Callithrix jacchus: one gene and its partners. The protein of the gene in region 5 purifies or fractionates together with the protein of the main gene of each other region. This does not show direct contact. Links are inferred from orthologs where the notes say so. Each region holds a gene or a part of one and is shown on either strand. Other genes may lie near its edges. The genes, in order: ARPC4, ARPC2, ARPC1B, ARPC1A and ACTR3B.

Region 1 (6,076 bases), on a different chromosome or scaffold from region 5:
TTGAAGGCCTAGTCTGTTCGGTTCACTGTGGTGTCTTAAGAGCTTCACACCCTCAGTGCTACTTGGCTTCTTGGGAGCTGGAATAGGGGATCAGTGGGTTTGGTGTGACAGATTTTGATCTTCTCTGCCCTTTGTGTTATTTCCTATAGACTGCCACTCTCCGCCCCTAGAGGCAAAAAAAAATAATCATTTCTGGATTGATAATTAAAGGAAGCCAAACTGTGTTCAGTTTTAGTCTTTCCCTACTTCTAAGACAGGTATTCTCTCTGCATTTCTAAATGGTATATTGATTTGCCTGTATAAGTTGAGTATCCCTTAAGCAAAATGCTTAGGACCGGAGGTATTTTGGATTGTGGAATATTTGCAGATACTTAACCAGTTGAGCATTCCTAATTCCAAATCCAAATGCTCCAGTGAGCATCTCCTTTGAGCATCTTGTCAGCACTCAGAAACTTTCAGATTTTTTTTTTTTTGAGATAGAGTCGTATTCTGTCGCTCAAGCTGGAGTAAAGTGGTGTAATCTTGGCTCATTGCAGCTGCCACCTCCTGAGTTCAAGCAATTCTTGTGCCTCAGCCTCCTGAGAAGCTGGGGTTATAGGGGTGTGCCACCACACCTGGCTAATTTTTATGTTTTTAGTAGAGATGGGATTTCACCATGTTGGCCAGGCTGGTCTCAAACCCCTGACCTCAAGTGATCCACCTGCCTCAGCCTCCCAAAGTGCTGGAGTTACAGGGATGAGCTACTGTGCCCAGCCAGTTTCAGATTTTGGATTTCAGATTTACAGATTGGGGATATTTAACTTGTAGTTACTAAAATCAGCTGTCCTTTGTAAAGCTCCTACTATGTGCCAGGCACGCTATTAGATACCTGACCCTTTTTTGATCTCTCTCAGTCCTTGCCAATGAAATAGGAATCAGAGTCATTTTACAGATGAGAAAATTGAGATTCCAACAGGGTAACTTGCCCAGGAAAGTAACAGAGGAGGCTGGATTTCAAAACCTTTTCGCTCTGACTTCAGAGCCTGTGCTCTTTCTGCTGAAGAACACACTCACTGGTCCCCATCTTGGAGCACTTCTGCTTGTGAGTCTTCTATTCCTTGGACTCCATGGTGTCATAGTGATTCCAGGACTTGCTGTGGGGTCACTCTGACTGTTGTGTCCCTCTATAGTACAGAGTACTCTGTGACATTGTGTTTTCAGGAGTAGCAAAGAACTCCTGTTACAACCTGTGACCATCAGCAGGAATGAGAAGGAAAAGGTTCTGATTGAGGGCTCCATCAACTCTGTCCGGGTCAGCATTGCTGTGAAACAGGTAAGGTCACCTTGTAAGAGACGTAACATAAGGACCTCACTTTCAATCCAGGGGTCCCCATCTGAGAGATCAGCGTGCCACATTCAGATGGAGGCTCACTCTTGTTGCCTAGGCTGGAGTGCAGTGGCAAGATCTTGGCTCACTGCAACTTCTGCCTCCCAGGTTCAAGCAATTCTCCTGCCTCAGCCTCCTGAGTAGCTGGGATTATAGGCGCCCACCAACATGTCCATCTAATTTTTGTATTTTTAGTAGAGATGGGGTTTCACCATGTTGGTCAGGATGGACTCAATCTCCTGACCGCAGGAGATCTGCCTGCCTCAGCCTCCCAAAGTGCTGGGATTACAGGCATGAATCACCATGCCCAGCCAGTAGTGGGCAACTCTAAATTGTCAACAGGATAAAAACAAAACAGCATTATTAAATGCAGACTACATACTGTGTTCTACAGAAAGTTCTAACCCTGGGGCCTGCTTTCTTTGTTAGAATGGGAGATTAACAAGTGTTGGGAGGTGTTAAGGCATACTAGCAACCAGCTGCAGAAGTCTTTCTTTACAAATGTTGAGCGTTCAGGGCCGGGTACGGTGGCACGTGCCTGTAATCCCAGCTACTTGGGAGGTTGAGGCACAAGAATCACTTGGACCTGGGAGGTGGAGGTTGCAGTGGGCTGAGATTGTGCCACTGCACTCCAGCCTGGGCAACAGAGGGAGACTCCATCTCAAAAAAAAAAAAAAAAGAAATGTTGAGAGTTCAGAAGGGAGAAACTTCAGAGATTGTTGGATGTTCAGTGTTATAAAGCAGAGACCACCTAAAGTTATCTCTGATAGCCCAGGTGGTGCTGCGACACACCCTGGGAAATGTAACACTAGTGAAGTGGGAATGAGAAGGGCAGCTTGGCGTATCGCTGTAGACTCGTAAAGAAGCCATAAAAGACTCTGTTTGCCAGAATTACCTCTCTGGAATGGGTCCTCATTAAGAGATGCCCCAAGATAGACCCTTGTTTCAGTTGGCAGCCAGGTCCCTCACTTCAGTGATCCTTCCGAGTACCAAACCTCACTGTCTCCTGGGAGCTTTGGAGAAATTGGAGTCAGAAGACCAGGCTACAGGGTATTTTTGGCTTGGGTGTCGGCTTTAGAGAAATGTTTCTCCCTTTTATTTCCCAGGCCGATGAGATTGAGAAGATTTTATGCCACAAATTCATGCGCTTCATGATGATGCGAGCAGAAAACTTCTTCATCCTTCGAAGAAAGCCTGTGGAGGTGAGACCTTGTGACCCATGAATTTGCAATACCCAGGATCCTGCTACAGAATGGCCTGGAATTGTTTCTAGAACCTGGATTGCTGCTCTTCCAGCTGTTTGGCACCACCGCCTGAACTGAGAGTTGGCCTTCATCTCAGCTGGAGTGGGAACCAAGAGGATCAGAAGCCTAGGAAAAGTTGGGTCTACCTCAGCCATACAAAAGGCAAAAAAGGACCAGGAGTGGTGGCTCATGCCTGTAATCCCAACACTTTGGGAGGCCGAGGAGGGTGGATCATGAGGTCAGGAGTTCAAGACCAGCCTGGCCAAGATGGTGCCATCCCATCTATACTAAAAATATAAAAATAAGCCCAGTGTGATGGCGGGCACCTGTAATTCCAGCTACTCGGGAGGCTGAGGCAGAGAATTGCTTCAACCCGGGAAGCAGAAGTTACAGTGAGCCGAGATTGTGCCACTGCACGCAGCCTGGGTGACAGAGTGAGACTCCATCTAAAAAAAGAAAAAGGAAAAGGCAAAAAATATAAGATACATTGCTTATTCCCAGAGCCTACAGTCTAGCAGCAGAAAGAGCACAGTGATTTTGTTGTTGTTATTGTCGTTGGAGTTTTGCTCTTGTTGCCCAGGCTGGAGTACAATGATGTGATCTCGACTCACTGAAACCTCTGCCTCCCAGGTTCAAACCATTTCTCCTGCCTCAGCCTCCTGAGTAGCTACCATGTGCTACCGTGCCTGGTTAATTTTGTAATTTTAGTAGAGATGGGGTTTCATCATGTTGGTCAGGCTGGTCTCGTGACCTCAGGTGATCCACCCATCTCGGCCTCCTAAAGTGAATCATAGTCTCTTAAAGCCACAGTTAACACTGGGTCAGTTGTTGCCTGACTTTGTACTTGACCCTCCTCCACAGACTCCTTACCAACTTAACTTAAAGCATCCCCACAACTACCACACAGCAGGATATGCCATCATCAGATACATCAGGCATGTTGGCCAAGTTCTTCCTCATCCTGAGCCAAATTTTTCTCTCCCGGTCCTAGATCTAACCTCTTTGGCCACCTGGAGTAAATAAAATTCCTCTTCCTCACATACGCCTCCAGCAGAAAAAATACCTTAATCCCACTCATCTTCCACATCATCTCTTTTCTGGACTAAATGTTCCCTGTTGTTTGATTAGATTCTTCTGTAACAAGACTTCAAGTGCCTTGACTCATTCTGAATGTAGAGTTGTTTGTGCCACAGATAGTCTTCCAGAGATGTCTGATACACACAGAATTCTCAACTGGATTGAGTTGCTTGGATCCAACCTACACGCCCTTCCCCAGAGCAGGTGGGCTGCTGACTGGAAGGGTGTGTAGCTTGGGAGAAGATCACAGCCAGTGAGAAACATGTGAATGAGTGGAGGACATGACCAGCTCACTTCCCCTGGGGTGCTAATTCTCTCCTGTTCCTTCCCTTCTTCCTCCCTGCTGTCTTCTTTCCTAGGGGTATGACATCAGCTTTCTGATCACCAACTTCCACACAGAGCAGATGTACAAACACAAGTTGGTGGACTTTGTGATCCACTTCATGGAGGAGATTGACAAGGAGATCAGTGAAATGAAGCTGTCAGTCAATGCCCGTGCCCGCATTGTGGCTGAGGAGTTCCTTAAGAATGTGAGTATAGGCTTTTCTGCTTTCCTTCCAGAGGCTGAAGGATCTGGAGTCATGTTGAGAACTTAGCACCTGGTGGGAAAGGGGTGCTAGCAGTGTGTTTATATCTTTGGAACCCCTAGAACACAGCAGGTTGCTCAGGTGCTTTGGAGCTAGAAGGCCCCAGGTTCATCTCTGAGCGCTACAGGCATTTTCTGTATTTTTGGGTGTCTAGGATGTCTCTTAGTCTCTTGTAGGAACTTGGACACTCATTTCTATATCTCAGGATGTTCATAAAGTCCTTACCTCTATCTAGTTCAAACCCTAAGTGAGGCAAGTGAAGTCTGCATGTGAATTTTCCCGGAATATAGGACAGTTAATCATGGTATAATTCCACTTCTCAAATAGACATCAGTACTTTCCTTAGCGTCTGTTTCTTAGGCTTAAAGTCATGATTCCTTCAACCTGTTTTCCATCACTTGCATGGCCTAAGTCCTCCAGATTCCTCTTATATTGTTTATGCCTTTCTAATCGAAAGGACTGTAGTCATATGAAGAGGTGGAATTATTTACATTGGTAACTGATGACATAGTTCTTAGTTGTTTAGATATTCAAGACATGCCTTCTTTTTTTTTCTACTTTTCTAAACAATCTTTGGTTTGTTGGCATGTTCTACCCAGAGTGGCTGTGATCTCTAGGCAGTAGACTTAGTGTGTACTCTCACCAGTGAGTGCACACCCAGTCCAGAAGGAGCTCAGATTGCTAAAAATGGAAATTATACCTGCTTCCCCTGGGATTTAATTATACTCAGGGTGGCCAGCATACAAAGTAGCTGTGCTGTGCACACAGATCAGCGTGGTTGTTGAGCTCAGTCAGCTGTGGAGGCCGACAACCTGTGTGTGAAACCAGGTTCCACCGCCTACTTAGGCATGTCACTGAATTCTCAACTAAGCCTCAGTTTCCTCAGCTGTGAAATGAGGATTTGGTAGTTAATACATGTCTTTCAGAGTGGTTGAGCATTAAATGAGACCATATGTGTAAAATGTAGCACCTGGTACATAGTAAGCTTTCCATGTATTGCAGTATCAAAATTTTATGTCCAGGGTACTAGGAGGCCTCTAGATTGAACTGGAAGGGGAAAATAGCTCTTGTTCCAATTGAATCTTTGGCTCACTCATTCAATAATCATTTACTTATTTGTGACAATTACATTTCATAGAATTAGACACCTAAAAAAGCATGTTCACATGTCCCATTTATTACTCAAAACAATTTTTTTTTTTTTTTTTGAGATGGAGTTTTGCTCTTGTTACCCAGGCTGGAGTGCAATGGCACGATCTCGGCTCACCGCAACCTCCACTTCCCGGGTTCAGGCAATTCTCCTGCCTCAGCCTCCCGAGTAGCTGGGATTACAGGCACGCACCACCATGCCCAGCTAATTTTTTGTATTTTTTAGTAGAGACGGGGTTTCACCATGTTGACCAGGATGGTCTCTATCTCTTGACCTCGTGATCCACCCGCCTCAGCCTCCCAAAGTGCTGGGATTACAGGCTTGAACCACCACACCCGGCCTCAAAACAATTTTTGAGTCAGCTATTATCACCATTTTAGAGATCAGTAAACTGGGACTCTGGAATTAAAAGCAACTGTCCAAGGTCCCTCAGCCAGTAAGAGGAGGAACCAGAACATGGAACTGGGTTGTCTGACTCAGAGATCTAAGATAGTACCATAACCTATCTTAGATCTTAGATGTGTCAGGGGTCACAAATCAGGTGCATGCAAAGGTCGGGTGGCTGTGGAGTGGGCTAAGTATGGAGTATGGAGAGGGCAGGGTGAGGAGCTGCTGAGCACATGCCTCATCTGCAGGGGCTGGCTCCCACACA
Region 2 (6,076 bases), on a different chromosome or scaffold from region 5:
AACCAGCCAAATCTAAATATATACTTCAGAGCTTTTAAAGTTAGTTTATTACTCTGGATTTAGCCCAATTTCTGAGCTACTGCACTTAATTCCCCTGTCAATTTTGCATAAAAACACATATAATGCCTATCTAGAGGCTTACTTTTAGGACCCAAGAGATATGTGTATATTTATATATTCTTTCATCAAGTTCAGCACTAGCAAATGCTGAAGTGTCAATATTCCAATTTTTCTGTATAGGGACTCCCAAACTAGAGCTTCTGATTAATTAGCCAAAACACAAAAGCCACTAGGGATGGATCAAATTAAGGATATCACTTTTGAAGATTTCCCTAGCCACTTAGAAGGCTATGCAAAGTATCCTCACTGTTAAGCACAGCTGTCTTTCAATTCTATTTGGCAAAAGAGAGTCTGCTTCAGAATTTAAAATCTTTACCAACCTGTCAAGGAACAGAATGACGGTACTAATGTTTTTTAAAAAAATTTCACCACTGTACTAGATTTGGAATGCTGAGCCATCTCAGAAGAAATCACCCTGAATGTCACCTGACCAATGAACTCATACCGTCCTCGAGCCAGGAACTAACAACTGTACACAATGACTTGAATGCAACTACACCACAAATCCAGTTGCTAAATGCCCTGCTAACTCTCATGACTCCTCTTAAGATGAGCTTCTTGTGAAGGAAGTACTCTATGGTGACCCATCCAAATTCAGGGCCACCCTGTCAGTTCAACAACTCTACCTGTTAACAGGTTATCTACTGCCAAAGAATTTGCTATAGAGTCCATTCTAAACCAAGAGCAGACCTTTCTAGAAATCTGAGGAATCACAAGAGGTTAGGTCAAAGACCCGACAGTAGGAAGGATACATAATATTCACTTATAGTTAGCATGTTTAGTTCTCAATTCACCCTTTAGTTCTGTTCTGTAAAACTGGAACCACTGAAAAAAAAAATATCAGGCTGGGAGTGGTAGCCTATGCCTGTAATCCCAGCATTTTGGGAGGCCGAGGTGGGTGGATCACAAGATCAGGAGATAGAGACCAGCCTGGCCAACATGGTGAAACCCTGTCTCTACTAAAAATAACAAAAATGAGCTGGGCATGGTGGCACGCACCTGTAGCCCCAGCTACTCGGGAAGCTGAGGCAGGAGAATCACTTGAATCTGGGAGTAGGAGGCTGCAGTGAGCCAAGATCTTGCCACTGCACTCCAGCCTGGTGACAGATTGAGATTCCATCTCAAAAAACAACAACGCCGGGGTGTGGTGGCTCATGCCTGTAATCCCAGTACTTTGGAAGGCTGAGGAAGGTGGATCTCGAGGTCAGGAGTTTGAGACCAGCCTGGCCAACATGACAAAACCCTGCCTCTACTAAAATTACAAAAATTAGCCCGGTGTGGTGGATGTAATCCCAGCTACTCGGGAGGCTGAGGCAGGAGAATCACTTGAACCCAGGAGGTGGAGGCTGTAGTGAGCCGAGATTGTGCCATCCCACTCCAGCCTGGGTGACAAGAGCAAGACTCCATCGCAAAAAAAAAAAAACAACAACAAACCAAAAAAACCCCCAGAAAAACCCCCCAAAAAACAACAGCAAAACCAAAACCAAACAACATTCACTGAGTTTTACGGGGAGTTGTCTACTAAATTTTCAACAAACTCTAACATTAACAGACCTGCTAGATCTCTTTTTATTTTCTATGCTTATGGTATGTTTTGTTGCAAAGTTATAAGTTGCCATGCATGGTTTTCCCCCAAGATGTCTGCTCCATACCTGCATGAACACCTTTCCAATGACCACATCGTCGTCATCCTTAAACACTGTGCTGAAGACTACCGTGACTCTGTCCTTTTTAGACTCAACATACCTGAGGGGAACAAAACCCAGGAGGATAAGTACAGAATCAGAAAGGGGTTTTGCCAATAACTTGATGTACAAGTGCATCAGAAGGCTAAAGTCATAAATCTCTTGAATCATAATATAAAGGCATGCCAAATGAGATGATATTCATGGTCAACAAGTCAGTGTAAAACATGAATGCCCTGCCCTGAGACAGGCAGGAGATGGAAATTATATCAGAAGTAGATTTTACTGTCTTATAAATATAACATGGAACCTATGGTCACTCTGCCTGCTGACTATCAAGGCTATCCTCTTAAAGAGGACTCAGAACAGTGGTGCCTTAAAGGAAAGCACTGGATTCTCTCTTTTTTTTTTTTTTGAGACGGAGTTTTGCTCTTGTTACCCAGGCTGGAGTGCAATGGCGCAATTTTGGCTCACTGCAAGCTCCGCCTCCTGAGTTCAGGCAATTCTCCTGCCTCAGCCTCCTCGGTAGCTGGGATTATAGGCACGCGCCACCATGCCCAGCTAATTTTTTGTATTTTTAGTAGAGACGGGGTTTCACCATGTTGACCAGGATGGTCTCGATCTCTTGACCTTGTGATCCACCCACCTCGGCCTCCCAAAGTGCTGGGATTACAGGCTTGAGCCACCGCGCCCGGCCAGCACTGGATTCTCTTGCCACCATCTGTCAGCTCTCAGTATCTGGAGAGTATGAAGAGTGGTTGATTTCTGCCCTATCATCTACATCCCGGCTTAAGACATTTTATGATAAAAACACTTTCACACAATATAGCTTAAGGTTTGACCAAGCCATATTTCTTTCAGTAGGTGCCATGGTGGTGAGACGGCCATATCCAGGCTTTAGGACCAAATTCTATACTCACATGGTCTCATCATCCCTATAATGGATAACTGCCCTGTTCTCTCCTTCCTTGCCCTCTTCTTGGAATTGGAAGTATTTTTCAAAGACAGAGGCAAAACAATTTCGCTTCAACATGCCAGCTTGATGCACAATGGAATCCTTGGATGCAGGCAGATTTTCAAGGTCGTATAGCAAAGAGACATTGTATCCTGGAGGGAGGAAACAAACCAGCAGTTATATTAAAAAAAAAAAAAAAAAAGCAGCATACTATCTCAACCAAGTAAATAGAGACTAGAGGCAATTAAACAATTTTTTTTCTAGGTTCTACTGACATTTTAACTTTGTCTCAGTGTCTGTACTTTCAATCCAGGTAGTCCATTTCCATTTACCTCGCAGGGCAAAATGAGGTGAAATAAAATCTTAATTTTTTATAAGATTCTTATAAATATATAGAATGAACAAGGTTTTTTTTTTTTTTTGAGACGGAGTCTTGCTCTGTTGCCCAGGCTGGAGTGCAGTGGTGTGACCTCAGCTCACTGCAACCTCCTCCTCCCTGTTCAAGCAATTCCCCTGCCTCAGCCACCCAAGTAGCAGGGATCTGGCGCACACCACCATGCTAAGCCAACTGTTTTCTATTTTTAGAGAGGGGGTTTCACCGTGTTCGTCAGACAGGTCTTGAATTCCTGACCTCAGGCAATCCACCGGCCTTGGATTCCCAAAGTGCTGGGATTACAGGCATGAGCCACCACGCCCAGCCTTAACTAATGTTAATAAAAAATTTGAATCAGTATCAAAGACGACTGATTACAAATATGTAATGGGGAGAAAGTCATAACCTGTGAACTCTGATTGGAAATTTACTTTTTACTCTTCCAGATACAGTTGTAAAGGAGCCACATATCTTTCTCTGATAGTTTAATGTGCCAAGTATCAATACGGCCAACACATGGGTAGCTTTGTGATAATAATATAGACCATTCTCCGTGCCACTGCCAACTCTGAGGAGGAAGGGTAGAAAAACCAACTATCTGTTCATACATATATCTCCCCAGTAGCTTTTACTGGTATACATTGTAAAACTTTTAGTATTTTTAAGAACATTTTACTTCATTTGATCTCCGTAACAATGCTCTGAAGTCTGCAGGTTAGGTAAGGTTACTGTTTTACGGAGGGAAAGGAGATTCAAAGTGACGTGACTTGTCAAGCGCAGCATGATACGTAAGTGTAGGGCACTCTATTTTGAGTTGAACAGAACTGGGTCCAAATCCTGGCCTTGTCATTTCGTGACCTTAAAAAAAATTGTCAAGTGCAGTGGCTCATGCCTATAATCCCAGCACTTTGGGAGGCTGAGGCGGGCAGATCACCTGAGGTCAGGAGTTGGAGACCAGCCTGGCCAACATAGAGAAACCCCATCTCTACTAAATATACAAAAATTAGCCAGGCATAGTGGTGGGTGCTTGTAATCCCAGCTACTTAGGACGCTGAGGCAGGAGAATCGCTTGAACTGGGAGGCGAAGGTTGTAGTGAGCTGAGATCGCTCCACTGTACTTCAGCCTAGGCAACAAGGGCGAACCTCTGTTTCTAAAAAAAAAAAAAAAGTGGGGAGGGCTATGGAGATAGGGGAGACTGTTGTGAGCATTAAAAAAATGTATAGTACTTAAAATGAGTGGAACATGATAGGTCATCACAACAGGTGCAGAACAGGTACTGAAACCACTGGCTGACCTGCCTTGACAGCATGTCCACTATGAATTCCTGGAAGCAGGGCTGGAACACTTGATTAGCGAATCAAATGGTTAATAAGTGTCAAAAGGCCTAGAGATATTTTCGCAAGAATATTTGTGTATCACTGAGGATCATTTTATATTCTAGGCAACTGACGGGAATAACTTTGCCAGAACTGTATGTATGGATTTCACACTTCTAAGTATCTGAAAACTTTACACCTCATTACTATTTCATTTTTTCTCAAAAGTATTCCTGAGGTCTACGTTTTTTGTTGAGCAGGGGCTCTTTGGAAGGATGGGTGTCTAAATCTTTGGAATAGATAATGCTTAGCACATTTTTGGCACTCCAGTATTAAATAACATGATTCCATTTTGGGTAGCTGAAAACCAGATAAACACACAGACTACAAGGCTAGATGAAAAAAGAAAAGATTTAGAGCTGAGGTTTGCTTGTTTTAGGAAGCCAAATAAAACAAAGCAAATAAAACTACAGCTAAGCTAAAATCTGTTTCTAAGTAAGGCTTCTAAGGATGAAGAGAAGTAAAAATCTAGTATGATTTGCTGAGATTTCCCAAACATGCCTAGATAAACCCATTAAAAAAGAAGAGACTCTACTGTCTTTTTTTTGAGACTGAATCTTGCTCTGTCATCCAGGTTGGAGGGACAGGAGTCTCACTATGTTGCCCAGGCTGTTCTCGAACTCCTGGGCTCAAGCAATTCACCCACCTCAGCCTCCTGAAGTGCTGGGATTACTGGTGTGAGCCACTGTGCCTGATTGACACTACTATCACATACTTTTACATTTTACACTTGTATGAAGACAGGGTCTGCAATGTGGTGACGTCTATGATTTAGTGGGAGGCAGGAGGAGGCCCAGAGACAGAAACATACTTTCCACGTCAGGATTTTGGCTTTGACAAGCATGCCCAAGACTCTGGACATGATTTTTCTGTTCTAGATCTGTATGTTTCTTTACTTCTCTTTCTTTAATATGATGATACTGCCAAAAGCCTACAGTGTTATCTTGGCTTTTATTTCTGTGACACATTCATCTCACCAATTTGGAGATTAAAAAAAAAAAAAAAAGGTGCTAGGTATGGTAGCTCATGGCTGTAATCCCAACTCTCTGGGAGGCTGAGGCCGAGGTGGGTGGATTGCTTGAGGCTAGGAGTTTGAGACCTCCTTAGTCTGTTCTGGCAGTCTGGCGAGCAGCCAGTGAGACCCTGTTTCTACGAAAAAATAAAAAAATTAGCTGGGTATGGTGGCGAGGGCCTGTAGTTCCCAGCTACTGAGAGGCTAAAGTGGAAGGACTGCTTGAGCCCAAGATTTGAAGGAGGTTGCAATGAGCTATGACTGGACCACTGCATCCCAGCCTGGACAACAGAATGAGACTGTCTAAAAATAATAGGTGAAGTGACGAAGTAAGCTAGCACCAGCAACTGCTAACAGTGACAAAGGCGCGGTGGCTAACGCCTGTAATCCCAGCATTTTGGGAGGCCAAGGCAGGCAGATCACAAGGTCAGGAGTTCAAGACCAGCCTGGCCAACATTGTGAAACCCCATCTCTACTAGAAATACAAAAATTATCTGCGTATGGTAGTGGCAACCTGTAATCCCAGCTACTCAGGAGGCTGAGGCAGAGAACTG
Region 3 (6,076 bases), on a different chromosome or scaffold from region 5:
GCGGGGGTGCCATTGGAGCGCCGCCGAGGGAAAACCGAGGCCGGAGGGGAGGCCAAGAGGACGTCTGGCGGCTCCGGAGGCCCTAATGGCAGGTGTATCAACACCGGAGGCGATGCTGCAGGCTGCCCCCTCCCTCAGCAAGGCCAGCGTTGGGACTCCTGGGGACCCAGGCGCCTTCTGTCCGGCCTGGGTAGTTACACCTGCTCTAAGGGAGATCCCTGCAGCTGGTTGCTCTTTAAGGCAAAAATCAGGCCTAACCTGCCCCTGGCACCCCCATATGTTTGCCGAGGGGTGAAAAGGGACTTAATAGATGTGGGGAGAGGAGAGGGAGAGCAGCGCCCTTCCCGGACACCTGGAGGAACTGCATGCCCTGAACTCCTGCCTTTGCATTAGGCGTGGCCTTGCCATTGCACTAGCCAATAAAATATGGGCAGAAATGTTAGGACCCAGGGCATTATCCCCCAGGTTCCAGCTGCCTCATGGCATCTGGGGCAGCATGCTGGGGACAGCCTCCATCAGAGCCCCTCACAACACCCACACTGGACATATAATGTGAGCAAGAAGTAAATCTCTTTTTTTTTTTTTTGGCGGGGAGGGGGGTGGAGGGGGATGGAATCTCTGTGGCCCAGGCTGGAGTGCAGTGGCAGGATCTTGGCTCACTACAACCCCTGCCTCTGGGTTCAGGCAGTTCTCCTGCCTTAGCCTCCCCCGTAGCTGGCTGGGGTTACAAGTGTCCGCCACCATGCCTGGCTAATTTTTGTATATTTATTAGAGATAGGGTTTTGCTTTGTTGGCCAGGCTGGTCTTGAACTCCTGACCTCAAGTGATCTGCCCTCCTCAGCCTCCAAAAATGCTAGGATTACAGGCATGAGCCACCAAGCCTGGATTTTTTTTTTTTTTTGAGACAGATTCTCTGTTGCCCAGGCTGAAGTGCAGTGGCATGAACATAGCTCACTTCAGAAGCCTCAACCTCCCAGGCTCAAGTGATCCACCTGCCTCAGTCTCCTAAGTAACTGGGATTATGAGATTACAGGTACACCACCACACCCAGCTAATTTCTTAACTTTTTGCAGAGACAAGGGTCTCACGGTGTTGTCTCAAACTCATGGCCTCATAAGGTGGAAGTGATACTTCCACCTTAACCTGGGATTTTAAGCATGAGCCACCATACCTGGCCAAATCTTTTTTTGTTTTTTTTTTTTTTTTGAGATGGAGTTTCACTCTTGTTACCCAGGCTGGAGTGCAATGGCGCGATCTCGGCTCACCACAACCTCCGCCTCCTGGGTTCAGGCAATTCTCCTGCCTCAGCCTCCTGAGTAGCTGGGATTATAGGCACACACCACCATGCCCACCTAATTTTTTGTATTTTTAGTAGAGACGGGGTTTCACCATGTTGACCAGGATGGTCTGGATCTCTTGACCTTGTGATCCACCTGCCTCGACCTCCCAAAGTGCTGGGATTACAGGCTTGAGCCACCGCGCCCGGCATCTTTTTTTTTTTTTAAGATGGGGTTTCACCGTGTTGGTCAGGCTGGTCTTGAACTCCCGACCTCAGGTGATCCGCCCGCCTTGGCCTCCAAAGTGCTTGGATTACAGGTGTGAGCCACCACGCTCGGCCCTGGCCAAATCTTTATTCTGTTAAGCAACTGCAGCCAGGGTCTTTCGGTTACTGCAGCATAACCCAAGAATGCAAGGAAGAAAAAAAGGCGGGAGACAGGAGAAAGGAGGGAAGAGATGAGTGAGAGTTGCTGGGCTCTTTGCGAAGCCTACCACAAAGTTCTGACCACACCCCCCCCTCCTTCCCTCCCCATTCCTTACCGCTGCCACCAGGCTGTTGTCTGTGATGAAGGTCAGCGCCAGCAGCGGCAGTGTTTCAGAGGCCAGGGTCGCGACGCTGAGGGGAGAGAGCTGTCAGCCATGCTGTCCCACTCCTCTGCACTCACCTCCTCCCCAGGGATGGCCTCTACTCACGCCATCTTCTTCTCGGCATCAGCCAGGCACAAGGTGCTGTCATGGCTCACCCAGGCCACGCGGCTCCCACTGGCTGAGAAGCAGACGCCATGTACCCAGCCGCAGCTACTGCTGGACTCAAACATCAGCTCCCCAAAGGGCATCTTAGAGCCCCATGGGGTGGGTGCCGGCCGCTCCTCCACCTCCTTGATGTAGGCTGAAAAGATCCTATCAGGAGAGGCAAAAAAGGGTAAAGTGGTGCACACCTGTAGTCTCAGCTACTCAAGAGGCTGAGGCGGGAGGATCACTTGAACCCAGGAGGTTAAGGCTGTAGTGAGCTGTGATTGTACTACTGCATTCCAGTTTGGGCCACAGAGACTGACTCAAAATTTAAAAAAATATATTTTTAAAGGGTTAACAGGTGGCTGGGCGCAGTGGCTCATGCCTGTAATCCCAACACTGTTAGGAGGCTAAGGTGGGAGGATTTCTTGAGGCCGAGAGTTCAAGACCAACCTGGGCAACATAGTGAGACCCCATTGCTACTAAGAATAAAAGCACCTACCCGGGCATAGTGGTTGTGCCTATAGTCCCAGCTACTTTCAAAGTTGAGATAGGAGGATTGCTTGAGACTAGGAGGTCGAGGCTGCAGTGAGCTGTCATTGCCCCACTGTATTCCAGCCTGGGTGACAGAGCAAGACCTTGTCTCAAAAAAAAAATAAAAACAGTGAATGGCAGCTGGAGACTCTGTTTCAGGCCTTAAAACAATGAAGCAGGGTTTGTTTCAGCTTCAGTCATTTATACCTTGGTATGAATAAGCACACCAACTCATTTTCCTTCAGACTGAAGCCAGGAAACTATAGGGGTAGGAAGTTCTCGTGAGTCAGGAGAGAAGGCCCTGGGAAGAACTTTTCTGGCATTAAGTGGTGGCAAGGGCCGAAGTTCAAGACTACCCTGGCCAACACAGCAAGATCCTGTCAGCCAGGGGTGGTGGCTCAAGCCTGTAATCCCAGCACTTTGTGAGGCCGAGGTGGGCGGATCACCCGAGGTCAGGAGTTTGAGACCAGCCTGGCCAACATGGTGAAATCCCATCTGTACTAAAAATACAAAAATCAGCCAGGCATGGTAGTATGCACCTGTAGTCCCAGCTATTCCGGAGGCTGAGGCTGGAGAACCACTTGAACTCAGGAGACAAAGGCTGCAGTGAGTAGAGATGGCACCACCACACCCCAGCCTGGGCTAATGAGCGAAGACTCTGTCTCAAAAAAAAAAAAAAAGCCCATCTAGCTGAGCATGGTAGTCTTGCTTGGGAAGATGAGAGGCAAGAGGATCACTTGAGCCCAGGATTTGGAGGCTGCAGTGAGCTATGACTACACCACTGCATTCCAGTCTGGGCAATGGAGCAAGTCCCTATCTCAAAAAAATAAAACAGGTGGGCGGGGGCACGTCCTGCTGAGACATGAAGGGTTCCCCAGGGACTAGAACCTTCAACTGATGCCCAGGTCATCCACTGATAGCAGCTCTGGAGGAGGTCTAGAAGGTGAGGTGTAGAACTTTCAGGTGGAGGTCCCCCAACCCCCCAATCCCTGCTGTGATTTCGGCAGTCAGCTGACATCAGCCCCGCCCTCCCCCATGGTGCCCTGTCTCACCGGCACTTGAAGTCGCAGGAGCCAGCAGCCAGCAGCACATTGTTGGGGTGCCAGTCCAGGCTGAGGACGGTGGAGCGGATGGGCTTCTTGATGTGCTTGCAAACCCACCTGGGCACAGCGGTCAGGCAGACAAGGAGAGAGGGACAGGCAGGTGGGACTCACGGACCTCAGCACCAGGGACTCCAGGCACCCACTGCTCCCTGCAGCCACCGAAGACCCAGGAGGGAGGCAAATGGCTATTCCCAGCCTACGAGGCTGCCAGGGCCGTGGGGCAGCAGGGATGTGCTGGGTTGCTTCTGGAGTGAGAACTCTGTGCCCTCTATACTGTAAGCCACACAGTCACCCTCCGAGCTGGCTCAGCAAAGTAATGCCACCACCAGAGGTCACACAGCTGCTAACTGGCCATGGTGGGATTCAAATTTGTGTCTCTCAGATGCTCCTGCCTGGCCTCTGCCCTCAGCCATGCAGGGGAGAAGATTAAGGACTAACACATGGCCAGGCATGGTGACTCATACCTGTAATCCCAGCACTCTGGGAGGCCGAGGCAGGTGGATCACGAGGTCAGGAGATCCAGACCATCCTGCCCAACATGGTGAAACCCCAACTCTACCAAAAATTCAAAAATTAGCTGGGCATGGTTGCGAGCACCTGTAGTCCCAGATACTTGTGAGGTTGAGGCAGGGGAATCACTTGAACCCAGGAGGCACAGGTTGCAGTGAGCAGAGATGGCGCCATTGCACTCCAGCCTAGTGACAGAGAGAGACTCTGTCTCAAAAACATAAAGAACTAAGACGTGGACTGGTCACTATGGCTCAGGCTTGTAGACTGAGCACTTTGGGAGCCTGAGGTGGAAGGCTTGCTTGAGGCCAGGAGTTCAAGACCAGCCCAGACAACATGACAAGACCCTGTCTCTATAAAATAAATAAAAAAATGAGCTGGGCCTGTAATCTCAGCAACTCAGGAGGCTGAAGTGGGACGATCACTTGAACTCAGAAGGCTGAGACTAAGGTGAGCTATGACTGCAACACTGCACTCCAGCCTGGGTGACAGAGCAAGACCTTGTCTCAAAAAAATATATATGGCCAGCACAGTGGCTCATGCCTATAATCCCAGCACTTGGGGAGGCAGAAGAAAGCAGATCACCTGAAGTTGGGAGTTCAAGACCAGCCTGATCAACATGGAGAAATCCTGTCTCTACTAAAAAATACAAAATTAGCTAGGCATGGTGGCGCATGCCTGTAATCCTGAAGGCAGGATAAGTGCCTGAACCCGGGCGGCAGAGGTTGCAATGAGCTGAGATCAAACCATTGCACTCCAGCCTGGCACTCCAATGAGTGAAACACCTTCTCAATAAATACATTAATTAATAAATAAATTAATAAATATCCGGGCGCTGTGGCTCATGCCTGTCATCTCAGCACTTTGGGAAGCCAAGGCGAGCAGATCGCAAGGTCAAGAGATTGAGACCCGTCCTGGCCAACATGGTGAAACTCTGTCTCTACTAAAAATACAAAAATTAGCTGGGCGTGATGGTGCATGCCTGTAATCCCAGCTACTCAGAAGGCTGAGGCAGGAAGATCACTTGAGCCTAATAGTTTCAAGCTGCAGTGAGCTGTGATTGTACCACTGCACTCCAGCATGGGTGACAAAATGAGACCCCATCTCAAAAAAACAGAAAAGAATGGCTGGGTGCAGTGGCTCACGCCTGTAATCTCAGCACTCTGAGAGGCTGAGGTGGCAGATCACCTAAGGACAGGAGTTCCAGACCAGCCTAGCCAACATGGTGAAACCCCGTGTTTACTAAAAATACAAAAATTAGCTGGGCGTGAGGTGGGCGCCTGTAATCCCAGCTACTCAGGAGGCTGAGGCAGGAGAATCACTTGATCCCAGTAGGTGGAGGTTGCAGTGAGCTGAGATTGTGCCACTGCATTCGAGCCTGGCTCAAGCAAGAGACTCTCAAAAAAAAGACCAAGATGTGGCTGCAAGCTTGTGAGCGGAGCCTTGAGAAAGTGACTTCGCAGCAGGACCTCACTTTGCTAATCTGTGGAGTGAGGACAGTGAGAGATGCCCAGTCCATGGAGCTGCAGGGAGGTCAGGACTGCTGTGTGTGCAGGGCTTAGCGAGGTACCCCCGGAGGTGTTTCCGGTGGTCAGTGCCATTATCCCAAGCCGCTGGCAGTGAAAACATCCGGGCACTACAGAGAGGCGCTTGCCTCATGAATGAGGCCCAGAGAGGAGAGGATGGACTCCCCTAGGGACGTAGGAACAGGGGTCCTGACATCTCATTTGGTACTTCCCGGGGACACTTTAGTCCCCCACCTCGTCCCTTCCAGTCCACTCTGGCCCCATCCAGGCACCCACCAGTCATTCTCCTGCTCGAAATAACAGATGGAGATGACACGGGAGCCACTGCCCACAGCGAACTTGTTCTCGTTGGGGGCCCAGCGCACACAGCGGGCGGCCCTGTTGATCCGCAGGATG
Region 4 (6,525 bases), on a different chromosome or scaffold from region 5:
GAACTAAAGTAAGTGCAACTTTAAATAAATAACATCTGATATCTTGAACTGGCAGAGAAATGTCAGCATTTCACATTCCATTCTAAGAGTGAAGATACTTAAGTCATTACTTTTTTCTGTTATACAGTCAAGAAAGCAAACTACGACTGACAAAGAAAGAGCTTAGGAATTGGCAATTTTAAAAATTTTAGATGAATTCAAATGAGAATGTTTAATTTTTTTTTAAGACTTCCAGATGCTCACTGCAGGCTTCTCTCTTTATCTCTGATATCAGATGCTCACTCCAAATTGTTCCATCACAACAGATTTTAGTTACAGCTACTCAAAATAACACATTGTGTCATAAAATAGCTCCTTAATTAAAAGTGGTTTAGTTCAAAAGCCACATTTGATAAGCTTCTTTGTTAACTGAAAATAAAACTGCTCTGCAAATCAGTAATTTGATGTGAATATCTTTGTGCCATAAAAGTACGTGTTTCATGTCCAGTTGAAAAGCACAGCTGTAGACAAAAGGCTTTCTCATTTTTCAACTCAGTTTTATTAGCAAAGTACCAAAGACTTCAAAAGAGGTGACCATTTACACAACGGTGTGCATTTCTAATTTTGCCATATCATTCAAGTTCCATGTTTGGACATATACTCAAGACCTGTACTTCTTTTTTAATCATATGGCTATTTTAAGTCTGTAGGCCAGGACAACACTCATGTTTGTCAAATTTAGAATGCACCTAGCAAACACAGCTTGCATTCATGAAACCCAGTGAATGCAGAAGAAATTCCTAATAGCCTGAATTATATACTAAGAAAGGGTACCTTCTGTCATAGGGTGATAATTATAACTTCTAAACTATGGTTAATGTTTAAATGAAATCTGAAAAGCTTTGTCTTAGTAGAGCTAGAGAGGAAGAAAAGGGGACAAATAAAAATGTGAGCCACCCTCTCGCCTCAGCCCCCTGAGTAGCTGGGACCACAGGCATGCATCACTATGCCCTGCTACTTTTAATTTTTTTGTAGAGACAAGGATCTCTCTATGTTGCCCAGGCTGGTCTCAAACTCCTGGGCTCAAGCGATCTGCCCACTTCAGCCTCCCAAAGTGTTAAGATTACAGGCATGAGCCACCGTGCCTGCCCCCCATCCCTTTTCTTTATCACTGTGTATAGAGTTATTCTGATGTATGGCTAGCCATGGGCTCTGAAGCCAAGGCTGGCTTTGAATCCTGGCTTTGACACACACTAGCTATGAGACCCTGGGCAAGTCACTTAATATTTCTCAATCTCATTTTTTTTCCCCTCTGTAAAGTGGATATACCACTGACATCACAAGGAGAATTAAATGAGACAACGTGTGAAAGCAAGTAGTACAGAGCCTATTCTGAAATACATGTCAGTAGGTTCCCTTTCTTCCTTTGACCCAAGGCTTTTAAACCAACCATAGAACCCAGCAGTTAGTTTCCTCTGAGCTTATAATTGTTGACATTTGCTATAAATTCTTGGCCCTACTCCTTTGGAGCTTGAAAGTATTCACACAAGTGGGAATTTCTGTCCCTGGTTTTGGGTCAGTTTTTAAGACCGTGATTCACCTAGTTTCTAACCACTCTCATTACCCAACCCAGCAATATCAAGTAATCCAACAAGGTCACCACACCCTCCTCAATGTTCAGACAGGCTCCAGTCCAGGCACCAACCTCACCAAGAGACCATTTTAAACTTCTTCATGAAGGATTTGTTTCAGCACTGGGAAACAATTAGATTAAAGTATGGCAACTCCACCTCCAAAACAAGAGTTTTCCAAAATGATCCCTTCCTTTAAGTGTGATTAGTAGATGAACTCCACAAGATCTTCTAATACATACTCCGAATATGGGAGAAAATAGCCATATAAGCTGGGTGTCGTGGCTCACACCCGTAATCCCAGCACTTTGGTAGGTTGAGGTGGGGGGAGAGCTTGAGCTCAGGAGCTTCAGACCAGCTTGGGCCACATATCGAGACTTTGTCTTTACAAAAAATACAAAAAAAAAAAAAAAAAAAAAAAATTAGCCAGGCGTGGTGGCTCACCCTGTAATCCCAGCTACTCAGGAGGCTGTGGCGGGAAAATTGCTTGAACCATGCCACTGCACTCTATCCAGTCTGGGTGACAGAGTGAGACTCTGTCTCCAGAAAAATAAATGAATGAATGAAAATTCACCCACTGTGGTGGCACATGCCTGTTGTCCTAGCTACTCAGGGGGCTGAGGTGGGAGGATCTCTTAAGCCCAGGAGGTCGAGGCTGCAGGGCAGGAAAAAAAAGGAAGAAAACAGCCACACAGTTACCCACTTCCTAACGGGGCAAAAACAGCTTCCTGACTGATACCCCTCCTTTGTTTTTACCTGAAAACTCAGGGCCTATGTAAAACCGAAAGACTAGATAAAATTGAGAAGAGAGGGCAGAATTAAGATAATCTCGGCAATTTAAGCTATGAGTTGACACAGACAGAAGGTTCCAAAGCTGCAGTAGAACAGATGGCTTTATAATCAAAGATTCTAAGCTATAATTTATTAAGTGCCTACCATGTTCCCAGCAGTGTTGTAAATACTGGGATGGGGACAGAAACATAAATAAGGCTGACACCATTCTGGTCTTCAAGTCTGGAGGGTTGGTGGTTGCTAAGAGTGGAGAAGGTAGAAAAGGAAAGGGAGACAGATATGCACAGAACGCCCAGAAGCAGTAATGATAGTGAATATTTATTGATCACCTACTCTAGGCCAGGAACTATTCTAAGCAATTTATGCAAATAAGCTCATTTGATCCTTAGCAAAACAGTAAGAATCTTTTTTATTGCATGAGGAAAACAGGCACAGAGAAGCAGTCTTCCCAGGATCACCCAACAAAGTGGTGGTGCCAAGACTGGCATAAAAGATTTTACGAACAGGAGAGCCGAGAAGGGTGCGATTTTGACTTGGGGGAAGGCGGTACTCATGCAGGGGGATCTGAAAGAACTCAGAAGAAGGTTTTTCTCGAGATCGGAAAGGTTCCCCAGTAACTGAAAGATTGAGGGCTGCCTAGAGAGGAGGCAAACATCCTATGGGCGCCTGCTGTATGCAGGGATCGACTCCAGACGCTAAAGAGATGAATGGTCCCGCGGGACGCTCGATTAGGGGATTCTCCTGCTTGACACAATTTTAGAGACGGTGACAAATGTCCCCAGCAGAGGTGCAATCAGGACCCTGGGGCGCAGAATAGGTCGTTAATTCTGGCATTGGAGACGGCTAGGAGCTTGAACATCAAGAGAGAAACTCCAGGGAACCCGCGGAGAAAGGGGATCCCCGCCCCCTCAGGAGGCCCCAGCAGACCCGGCCGCGCCTCAGCCTCGGGGCCCCGCGGCCTAAGCCCCCACCTCACCGCCCCCGCGGGTCCAAGTCCGGCGCGAGACCGGGACAAGAGAGGCCGACAGGGTGAGACGCTTGCCCCTGCTGGCCGTTACCTGGGGTCCGGGGAGTCCAGACAGGCTCGGAGCGGAGGATTCGCGGACTCTGGGCAGTCGACGCGAACAGGCTCCGGCGGGCGCGGGCGGAGGACGGAAGCCCAGAGGGAGCGGCTGACAGATCCCGGAAATAGCCACGGCGCCTGCGCGGTGAGGCCGTGCGGGCGGTCTGCGCATGCGCATAGCACAGGCGCGCAGTCCGGGTTTAGGTAGACTGTGGTGAGGAAGGGTACGCGGTCGGATTTGCTGCTGCTGCGGCACAGGCGGTGGCCTTTCAGAGGGAATGTGGCCCCACGGAACGCCTGTCAAGTGCTGGCGAAGCGGCATGGGCGTCCCATTCCGTTCCTCAATCAGTTTCCTCACAATCGCGAGCCAAAGTGTGGCGCCTCGGCAGTTTCGCAAGTTCTTTTGTCAGGAAATAAGTGACTGAGGATTGGGGGGTCTTTGGAGCTCCTGGACCTGACCAACGATTGAGTTTTTCTCTCTTCAGAGAGCCCAGGTCAGAACCAGTCGACCTCAGCGCTGCTTCGTGCAGGGAGCCCCCGCCCCCGCCGTGCTTCCACTGTGGAAAGCCCCTGAAGTCCCCCAGGAACCTTCTCGAATCTTCGCGGGGCAGAGTCACTTGTTCCTTTCTCCCAAGATGGCGCCGCAGGGAAAAAGGTTGGGGGAGCTAGGCTATGCCCCCAGTTCACAGAGGACAGCTTCTGAGGTTTGCCGTGGTTCCCCCATCTGCAACTAGGCTGCTGCCCTTGAACCCGTAGAAATTCTGGAGCAGCTTCAGCCCCCACGGATGGGACTAATCGAGAGCTTTCCTTTTTGTTATTCTTTTTCTTTCTTTCTTTTTTTCATTAAGACAGGGTCTCGATCTGTAGCCCAGGCTGGAGTGCGGTGGCTCGATCATAGCTCAGTGCAGCCAGGAACTTCAGGGCACAAGCGGTCCTCCCGCCCCAGCCTCCAAAGTAGCTGGGACTACAGGTGTACACCACCACGTCTGGCTAATTTTTATTTTTATTTATTTATTTAGAGACGTTGTTTCATGTTGCCCAGGCTGGTGTGCAGTTGCACAATCTTGGCTCATTGCAATCTCTGCCTCCTGGTTTCAAGCGACTCTCCTGCCTCAGCCTCCCGAGTAGCTGGGATTACAGACATGCACCACCATGCCCGGTCATTATTTTGTGTTTAGTAGAGACAGGGTTTCTCCATGTTGGTCAGGCTTGGTCTCGAACTCCCAACCTCAGATGATCCGCCCGCCTCGGCCTCCCAAAGTGCTGGGATTACAGGCGTGAGCCACTGTGCCTGGCCAGCTAATTTTTATTTTTTGGTAGAGTCAGGGTCTTGCAGTGTTGCCCAGGCTGGTCTTGAACTCCTGGGCTGAAGCGATCCTCCCTCTTTAGCTTCCCAAGGCCCTGGGATTATAGGTGTGAGCCACTGTGCCTGGCTAATTTTTATATATTTTTTTGTAGAGATGGGGTTTTCCTATATTGTACAGGCTGTTCTTGAACCCCTGGGCTCAGGTAGTCCTTCAGCTTCTGCTTCCCAAAGCACTGGGTGTGAGCCCTGCCCCTGTGCCAGGCCAACCAAGGATTTGTCTCCTTCCCTTTGGTATTTACATATTTTATCCCAGTGCTTGGTTGCAGGTTGAGGTTTACGTAGGTATACTTGTCAAACTCTCAGTTTCAGACCTGATATGTTATTCTTTTTTTTTTTTTTTGAGACAGAGTGTTGCTCTGTTGCCCAGGCTGGAGTGCAGTGGCACAGTCTCGGCTCACTGTAACCTCTGCCTCCTGAGTTCAAGTGATTCTCTTGCCTCAGCCTCCCAAGTAGCTAGGACTACAGCCGCGTGCCACTAGGCCAACCTAATTTCTGTAGTTTTAGTAGAGACGGGGTTTCACCACGTTGGCCAGGCTGGTCTTGAACTCCTGATCTCAGGTGATCCGCCCACCTCAGCCTTCCAGACTGCTAGGATTACAGGCATGAGCCACCTCTCCTGTCCAGACCTGCTGTGTTCTTTCGAGTTACTGCAGGTGTCCCCAACCTCCTGGCTGCTGACCAGTACTGGTCTGTTGCCTATTAGGAATCCGATGGCACATGAGGTGAGTAGGGTGAGCCCACGAAGTGTCATGTGTATTTACAGCTGCTCCCCATCTCTCGCATTACTGCCTGAGCTCTGCCTCCTGTCACATCAGTGGGGGCATTAGATTCTCATAGGAAAGTAAACCCTATTGGGAACTGCACATGCCAGGGAACTAGGTGGCATGCTCATTATGAGAATCTAATGCCTGATGGTCTAAAACCATCCTGCCCCTCTCCCCTGGCCCCTTCCCCCCTAGTCCATGGAAAAATTGTCTTCCATGAAACCGGTCCCTGCTGCCAAAAAGATTGGGGACAGCTGTTTATGTAGCACGATGCACTGAAAGTCACTGATTTTAACTCTGCCCCATGGTTACAAAGTCTTTGATCATAGGGGAATAGAGCAGAAAGGTCATCATAAATTACCCCCTCCAAGAGACAACTTGGGAAAGAGAGGACAGCAGGTATGGAAAGCAGGGATTCCTTAAGTATCTGCAAGTTATATAACCAATTCCCAAATATGTAGAGAGATTTATGAAGATTCCACTTTATAAGGAACACTTACTGCTTTGGTGGAATTTGTTATTTGGGTAGATGACAGTAACACATGTAAATTAATACCAGACTTTATGATAAGTGACAATAAATGTTATACCAGAAAAATAACGGATGGGCCGGCACAGTGGCTCACGCTTGTAATCCCAGCACTTTGGGAGGCCGAGGCTGGTGGATCACGAGGTCAAGAGACTGAGACCGTCGTGGCCAACATGGTGAAACCCCGCCTCTACTAAAAATACAAAAATTAGCTGGGTGTGTTCGCGGATGCCTATAGTCCCAGCTACTCGGGAGGCTGAGGCAGGAGAATTGCTTGAACCCAGGAGGCAGAGGTTGCAGTGAGCCGAGATTGTGCCACTGCACTCCAGCCTGGCGACAGAGTGAGACTCTGTCTCAAAAAAAGAAAAATAGCAGACATTTACTATTAATCTCTGATTTGG
Region 5 (6,076 bases):
GCGGTGGCTCATGCCTGTAATCCCAGCCCTTTGGGAGGCCAAGGCGGGCAGATCACCTGAGGTCGGGAGTTCAAGACCAGGCTGACAAACATGGAGAAACCCCATCTCTACTAAAAATACAAAATTAGTTAGGCGTGGTGACAGGCACCCATAATCCCAGGTACTTAGGAGGCTGAGGCAGGAGAATCAGTTGAACCCAGGAGGCAGAGGTTGCAGTGAGCCAAGATTATGCCATTGCACTCCAGCCTGGGCAACAGGAGTGAATCTCCATCCACCCTCCCAACAAATAAAAAAGAAATTTCCTTCCACAAACTTGGTGTTAATCAAATCCTCCAATGATGTCAAAGAGAAGCACAGCGACAAGGGAGAAAACCAAAAGACCACCACACTACAGCAGAAAGATATTTATAAATATTCTAACAGCTTTTATTACAATGGTGCAAGGGAGTATTTCATCCAACACTCACCGACAACAAACCATCATCTTCTATAAAACAGCTCCAGAAAGTTCAAACAAAAAAATTAAAAGATACATGATCTGTAGTAATTCTCATACAATACAGTTTAGTGTTCAAACTCCATGTCACTCCAATAAAGTATAATCATTTTCTAGCAAACGTGGCAAAAGAGTTTGCTGTTTTATTTGTTTGCCTATAAACATATCGGAACATGCCTCACAATTAAAAACTCTGGATTACAGCACTCCATGACATCAATATCTATTCGTGCTTAGTATCAGCCAGTTGTACCAAATACCATAAAATACAAAAGGATAGGAAATATAAACATCGATTTGTATTTCAAGTTTAAACATTTTATTTACAAAAATAGGCTGGGAAGAAAAGGGTTTGCGCCCCCACATTCTCTCCTGGTGCACAACGATTTTGTGCCATTTTCTAAGGTTGTTTTCTCTGATGATTTCCAAAGTCACATTTGGATTCCTTCAGAATTGTATTTGTCAGCTAGCAGCTCGAGGAGGAGGAGGAGGAGGAGGAGGAGGAGGAGGAGGAGGAGGAGGAGGAGGAGGAGGAGGAGGAAGAGGAGGAAGAGGAGGAGGAGGAGAAGGAGGAGGAAGAGGAGGTGGAGGAGGAGGGAGAGGAGGTGGAGGAGGAGGAGCAGGAGGAAGAGGAGGAAGAAGAGGAGGAGGAGAAGGAGGAGGAAGAGGAGGTGGAGGAGGAGGAGGAAGAGGAGGTGGAGGAGGAAGAGGAGGAGATGGTGGAGGAGGAGGAAAGGAGGAGGAGGAGAAGCAGGAGGAGGAGGAAAGGAGGAGGAGAAACGTGGGGAAGGAGGGCGGATGAGGGAGGAGGCTGGCAGACAGCGTCGGCACACGGATAAATGGCTTTGACTGAAGGACCGCGCCGCGCCTCATGCACCGGCAATGCAAGCACGCTGCTCCGCAGCAACACCGACGTCACTATTTACAGAACGGCGGCCTTCTCTGGGTTCTGAAGGACACTTGTTCCCCAACGTGACACCATCAGACGACGCTTTCAGGCAGACACTAGGACATGACTCCGAAGACGGGGTTATGGCGGCAGATGCTGGGCCCGTACTCTTCATAGTCCTTCTTGGTGTGGCAGACCTGAAAGAACTCCGGCTACCAGAGGCAACAGGCAGAAGGAGAGAACGCATTTCAGAAAAGGGTCAGCAGAAAGCTGCTACCGCACAGGCAAGACGCTCTTCTCATCCCAGCCTCCACCCTGCCTCACGGGACCACTGCTGGAAGACTTTACCTCTTTGATGGACTGAACTACTAAACGGGGGGTTATTTTACTTTTCAAAAGCTTTGTCAGCCTCTATCTTCTTAGGACCAACCAAATGCTGCTCCCCCACTAACAACGTGTGAGCTATTCACAAATTTGAGGGGGAAAAATAATTATTATTTGGAAAAGTCACTGGAATTAATGATTAATGTGGGATTTTTTTCAGATTATGTTTGGATTCCACTTAGCATGTTATCTGTAACCCCTAATTATCAAGGATACTTGATAAATGTGTTGTGTGATTATTAAGATATAGTTTACATAGGGCCAGGCACATTGGTTCACACCTGTAATCCCAGCACTTTAAGAGGCCAATGCAGGTGGATCACCAGAGGTCAGGAGTACGAGAACAGCCTGGCCAACATGGTGAAACTCCATCTCTACTAAAAACAGAACAAAAAAATTAACCAGATATAGTGGTAGACGGCTATAATCCCAGCTACCTGGGAGGCTGAGGCAGGAGAATTGCTTAAACTCAGGAGGCAGAGGTTGCAGTGAGGCAAGATCACACCACTGCACTCCAACCTGGGCGACAGAGTGAGACAGAGCAAGACTCTGTATCAAAAAGAAAAAAATATATATATATATATAGTTTATATCTACAGAATTGTCTGTTTAGAGTGCACACTATTTCACCTTCATAGACAATATTTGCCCAAACTCAACAGCAAGCACAGGCATGGAAACACAGAGCCCTTGAGAGAGGGACTTACAGTCGAGGCCAGCATGGAGCCTCCGAACCACACTGCATAGCGCTGCATGTGATGCGTGACCACCTGCACCTCCACAGGCTTCGGCTGGAAGAGAAAGCAGCTCTCACTTACTGCACGTGTGCAGACACATCTGCGATCCAGTCACCCTCCAGCTGACCCGACCATGGCCTCACCCAGGGTCACCCTCCACTCAGTGGCACAAGTACAACCTCGCACCCGGCAGTCAGTGACTCTCTGCCTCTGCTGCCAAATCCCCCGCCAGATCTACGACAATTCCAGCCCTGGGGGCTCAAAGGAACACGGTACGCCCCGGCAAGCAGAACCCCCTCTCACAACACTGAGGGCATTAAAGTACAGAAGTACAAAGCAACTAGCCTCACTGATTTTTTTTGACCAAACATTTCATCCCAAATAAGACTGACCATCCCCAAAATACAAAAAGAAGCTATGTTTTCCCAGCAGTGGACTCGTGCACTCTCTTCCTGGACCCCAGCTCCCCTATCCAAGCCCGCTCTTGGTTAGAAGCCCAAGATAATCACCAGCTGCCTGAGAATTACTATCTTGGAGAGACGCCTTGTAACTCCCTGCTAACATTAGTTATTTTCGTTTAATGAGAACATTTCCAGAGAACATGAGAAGATAGATCCTCACCGTAAATCAGAACTATCTCCTGGGGACACTGGTCATTGCGCCCCATGTCGTAAGAGTACGACACAAAAGGCAACTGCTGGCAGGTATGACCAGGAAGACTGTGAAGCTGCTGTGGCTGTGTCACCAGGACCATAGGTCTGAACCACCAGTCTGGAAGGAGCTCCGGTAGCAAACCTCTGTGGTAATGTCACAATGCAGCTCAGAAAGCAACACACATTTGTTTTTCTTTCACATGGCCCAGACAAACTCTGTGTCAGGAAGGCCCGAGTCGGGCCCAGCGCAGAAACCGCCCTCCTCCCCCAGCACCACGTGGAGGCCCCTGGCTCCTACCTTGATCCTCCCGCCGCTGAGCTCCTCACTGAGCCTCAGCCTGGCATCCACTACTCTCTTCAAATCTCGTTGCAGTCGGCGTCCGAAATCCCTGAACATAGTGGAGCCTCCTGAGAGAACGACATTCTACAAGACACAAAGTAGAGGGAGCCTTGGGTAAAATCACCCGCAACAGAACCCCACAGGCCCAGTTGCTTGTGGGCATGACACACCGGCCCTATGAGAGACACAAACAGAAGCAAAGTTAATGCTATTGGAAAAATGTAGATTTCTTCTTTTATGGTGATAACAATGTGTCACAGATGGCTCCTGAATCCTTTCCTCCATTACAGCAAAGTAAAAACAAGGCGATTCTGCTCCCTCACGCTCCCCCTGCCTACCCCTCACAAGGACCAGGAAGCCACAAGTAACAACAGAAACTGTCCAGCTGACTTGAGCCACATGACTACTGGCTCTCCCACTGCTTTGCCTTAACCATCACCAGGGGAAAGTCTTCTAATGGATGCTCGAAGGCTCTTAGAAGGACGATCTTGAAAGAAAGCATCCAAGTTACCCAAAGAAACGTTCTCCAGTGAGCCACCCGGCCAGTACTGCCCTCCAGTGCCAGGACTCACTCAGTGGCCACACAGAAGCTCGGTGTGGGGCTGAGGAAGGGGAAGCACCTGCTTGCTGCGCTTCCTCTGCCCAGAACCTCAACCAGCCCTCTGTCCAGTGTTGTTCATGCTGCCCGCCTGTCAGTCATCCACACCATCAGCTCCTGACCTGCAGCCACTGACATCCTCATGGCTTGATGGCCCAGGTCACTGAAGCAGCCAGTCCTCTTCTGATGCACGTCAGAGGCTACAGTGGCCTAACCTACGTCACTCACCTCTCGCCCTCTCACCATGGGCACTGCATCATCTCATACCCTCACAAGACAAGGAAGGGTGAGTACATACAGTAAGATATTTAGACAGAGAGAGAGACCACATTTATATAACTATTCCTATAGTATATTGTTATAGTAATTATTCTGTTTTATTATTAGTTATTGCTGTTCAAAAGTCTCTTACTGTGCCTAATTTCTAAATTAAACGTGATCATAGGTATGTATGTACAAGAATAAACACAGTATATACAGGATTTGGTACTAGCTGCAGTTTCAGGCACCCACTGGGGGGTCTTGAACCGTATTCCCCACTGACAAGGGGGAATAATATATCTCCGATTTAACTTTCTTAGAGAAAACACCAAATGAGAAAACTACATAAGGAAATTAATCCTTCAAGGTGTCAAAAAGCCCTACTTGCTTTAAGACACTCTAGATATGTTAGCTCTTCCCAAGTTTCTGACCAACTGTAGAACTCTGTTTTTCAGGAACTCCTCCCAGTCAGCTCTGTGTGCGTGAACAGTGAGTCCCTCACCAAGTTTACAAGTAAGGAGAAGTCACAAGGAATCAGTACAGGAAAAAAATCACTTTTCTGTCCCCAGCAACCCAGGTTCTAAGTTGTATGGTGTGAAAGCAGTCCACTCCTGCTTATCGCTGTCCGGAGGAAAGACAGCCAGGACGGAGTGCACAGGGGTCATTTTTCTCTCATGCCAACTCCTAGAACTGCTGTGACAGCACTCACGTAGACTCAGGATTAGATAACTGAAGTCAGTGCAGGAAGAATGAAAGGGGGCAGGAGCCATGGGAAGTTACCAGGGACCTGGCCTTCCACCTGGAGAAGCCACCGGGGACCTGGCCTTCCATCTGGGGAAGCCACCGGGGACCTGGCCTTCTACCTGGGGAAGCCACCGGGGACCTGGCCTTCCACCTGGGGAAGCCACCGGGGACCTGGCCTTCCACCTGGGGAAGCCACCGGGGACCTGGCCTTCCACCTGGGGAAGCCACCGGGGACCTGGCCTTCCACTTGGGGAAGCCACCGGGGACCTGGCCTTCCACCTGGGATCTGCCCCAATCCTACCCTGAGTGTCTGTAAAAAGAAATTTCACCTCTGATTACCTACCAACAGCAGATGTTTCATAAATCATCTAACATGCTGTAGCTGCTCAGCTTCTAAGGTGAAAAGGCCGTCAGGGGCTAAAGAAGCTGTGTCCAAAGCTGTGTCCAACCCTTTGAATCCAACAACATTTTTGTTTATCTGTAGTGAATATGAAAAAAATTATGCACAGGACCTTTTTATTAGCTTGCCAGCTGTCAATAGCGTTAGTGTATTTTATGTGTAGCCCAAGACAATTCCTCTTCTAATGTGGCCCAGGAAGGCTAAAAGGTTGGACACCCCTGAGCTAAAGCTTCTACAGTGGCTTGGCCGGGGACAGAGCCATGGGAAACCATCAACAAGTGGCTATCTGTGGTCTCACCAAACTGTGCCACAATTTTTTTTATCAGCTTCGAGAATCTTAAGTCATACATATATGCATGTATTTCAAGACAGAGTCTCACTCTGTCATCAAGGCTGGAGTGCAGTGGTGTGATCTCGCCTCACTACAACCTCTGCCTCCCGAGTTCAAGCAATTTTCCTGCCTCAGCCTCCCAAGTAGCTGGGATTACAGGTGCCCGCCACTACGCCCAGCTAATTTTTTGTACTTTTAGTAAAGAAGGGGTTTCATCATGTTGACCAGACTGGTCTCGAACTC

What was found.
Region 1: the proteins of ACTR3B (region 5) and ARPC4 purify together in Homo sapiens (affinity purification with mass spectrometry; 5 studies listed by BioGRID and IntAct, counting the BioPlex papers as one, with this or other methods). This does not show direct contact. The link is inferred for Callithrix jacchus from reciprocal best matches to the Homo sapiens genes ACTR3B and ARPC4.
Region 2: the proteins of ACTR3B (region 5) and ARPC2 purify together in Homo sapiens (affinity purification with mass spectrometry; 6 studies listed by BioGRID and IntAct, counting the BioPlex papers as one, with this or other methods). This does not show direct contact. The link is inferred for Callithrix jacchus from reciprocal best matches to the Homo sapiens genes ACTR3B and ARPC2.
Region 3: the proteins of ACTR3B (region 5) and ARPC1B purify together in Homo sapiens (affinity purification with mass spectrometry; 5 studies listed by BioGRID and IntAct, counting the BioPlex papers as one, with this or other methods). This does not show direct contact. The link is inferred for Callithrix jacchus from reciprocal best matches to the Homo sapiens genes ACTR3B and ARPC1B.
Region 4: the proteins of ACTR3B (region 5) and ARPC1A purify together in Homo sapiens (affinity purification with mass spectrometry; 5 studies listed by BioGRID and IntAct, counting the BioPlex papers as one, with this or other methods). This does not show direct contact. The link is inferred for Callithrix jacchus from reciprocal best matches to the Homo sapiens genes ACTR3B and ARPC1A.

Annotation. Positions count from the first base shown.
Region 1 is NC_133516.1:66,962,456-66,968,531, forward strand, and holds part of ARPC4 (actin-related protein 2/3 complex subunit 4), read left to right. Parts: intron 1-1,200; coding exon 1,201-1,312; intron 1,313-2,472; coding exon 2,473-2,568; intron 2,569-4,046; coding exon 4,047-4,217; intron 4,218-6,076. UniProt on the Homo sapiens protein: Actin-binding component of the Arp2/3 complex, a multiprotein complex that mediates actin polymerization upon stimulation by nucleation-promoting factor (NPF).
Region 2 is NC_133507.1:139,979,774-139,985,849, reverse strand, and holds part of ARPC2 (actin-related protein 2/3 complex subunit 2), read right to left. Parts: intron 2,913-6,076; coding exon 2,726-2,912; intron 1,867-2,725; coding exon 1,773-1,866; intron 1-1,772. UniProt on the Homo sapiens protein: Actin-binding component of the Arp2/3 complex, a multiprotein complex that mediates actin polymerization upon stimulation by nucleation-promoting factor (NPF).
Region 3 is NC_133503.1:14,189,833-14,195,908, forward strand, and holds part of ARPC1B (actin-related protein 2/3 complex subunit 1B), read right to left. Parts: coding exon 5,957-6,076; intron 3,705-5,956; coding exon 3,597-3,704; intron 2,179-3,596; coding exon 1,972-2,178; intron 1,895-1,971; coding exon 1,819-1,894; intron 1-1,818. UniProt on the Homo sapiens protein: Component of the Arp2/3 complex, a multiprotein complex that mediates actin polymerization upon stimulation by nucleation-promoting factor (NPF).
Region 4 is NC_133503.1:14,252,563-14,259,087, forward strand, and holds the start of ARPC1A (actin-related protein 2/3 complex subunit 1A), read right to left. Parts: upstream 3,564-6,525; 5' UTR 3,461-3,563; intron 1-3,460. UniProt on the Homo sapiens protein: Probably functions as a component of the Arp2/3 complex which is involved in regulation of actin polymerization and together with an activating nucleation-promoting factor (NPF) mediates the formation of branched actin networks.
Region 5 is NC_133512.1:95,387,227-95,393,302, forward strand, and holds the end of ACTR3B (actin-related protein 3B), read right to left. Parts: intron 3,584-6,076; coding exon 3,458-3,583; intron 2,561-3,457; coding exon 2,477-2,560; intron 1,598-2,476; coding exon 1,502-1,597; 3' UTR 405-1,501; downstream 1-404. UniProt on the Homo sapiens protein: Plays a role in the organization of the actin cytoskeleton.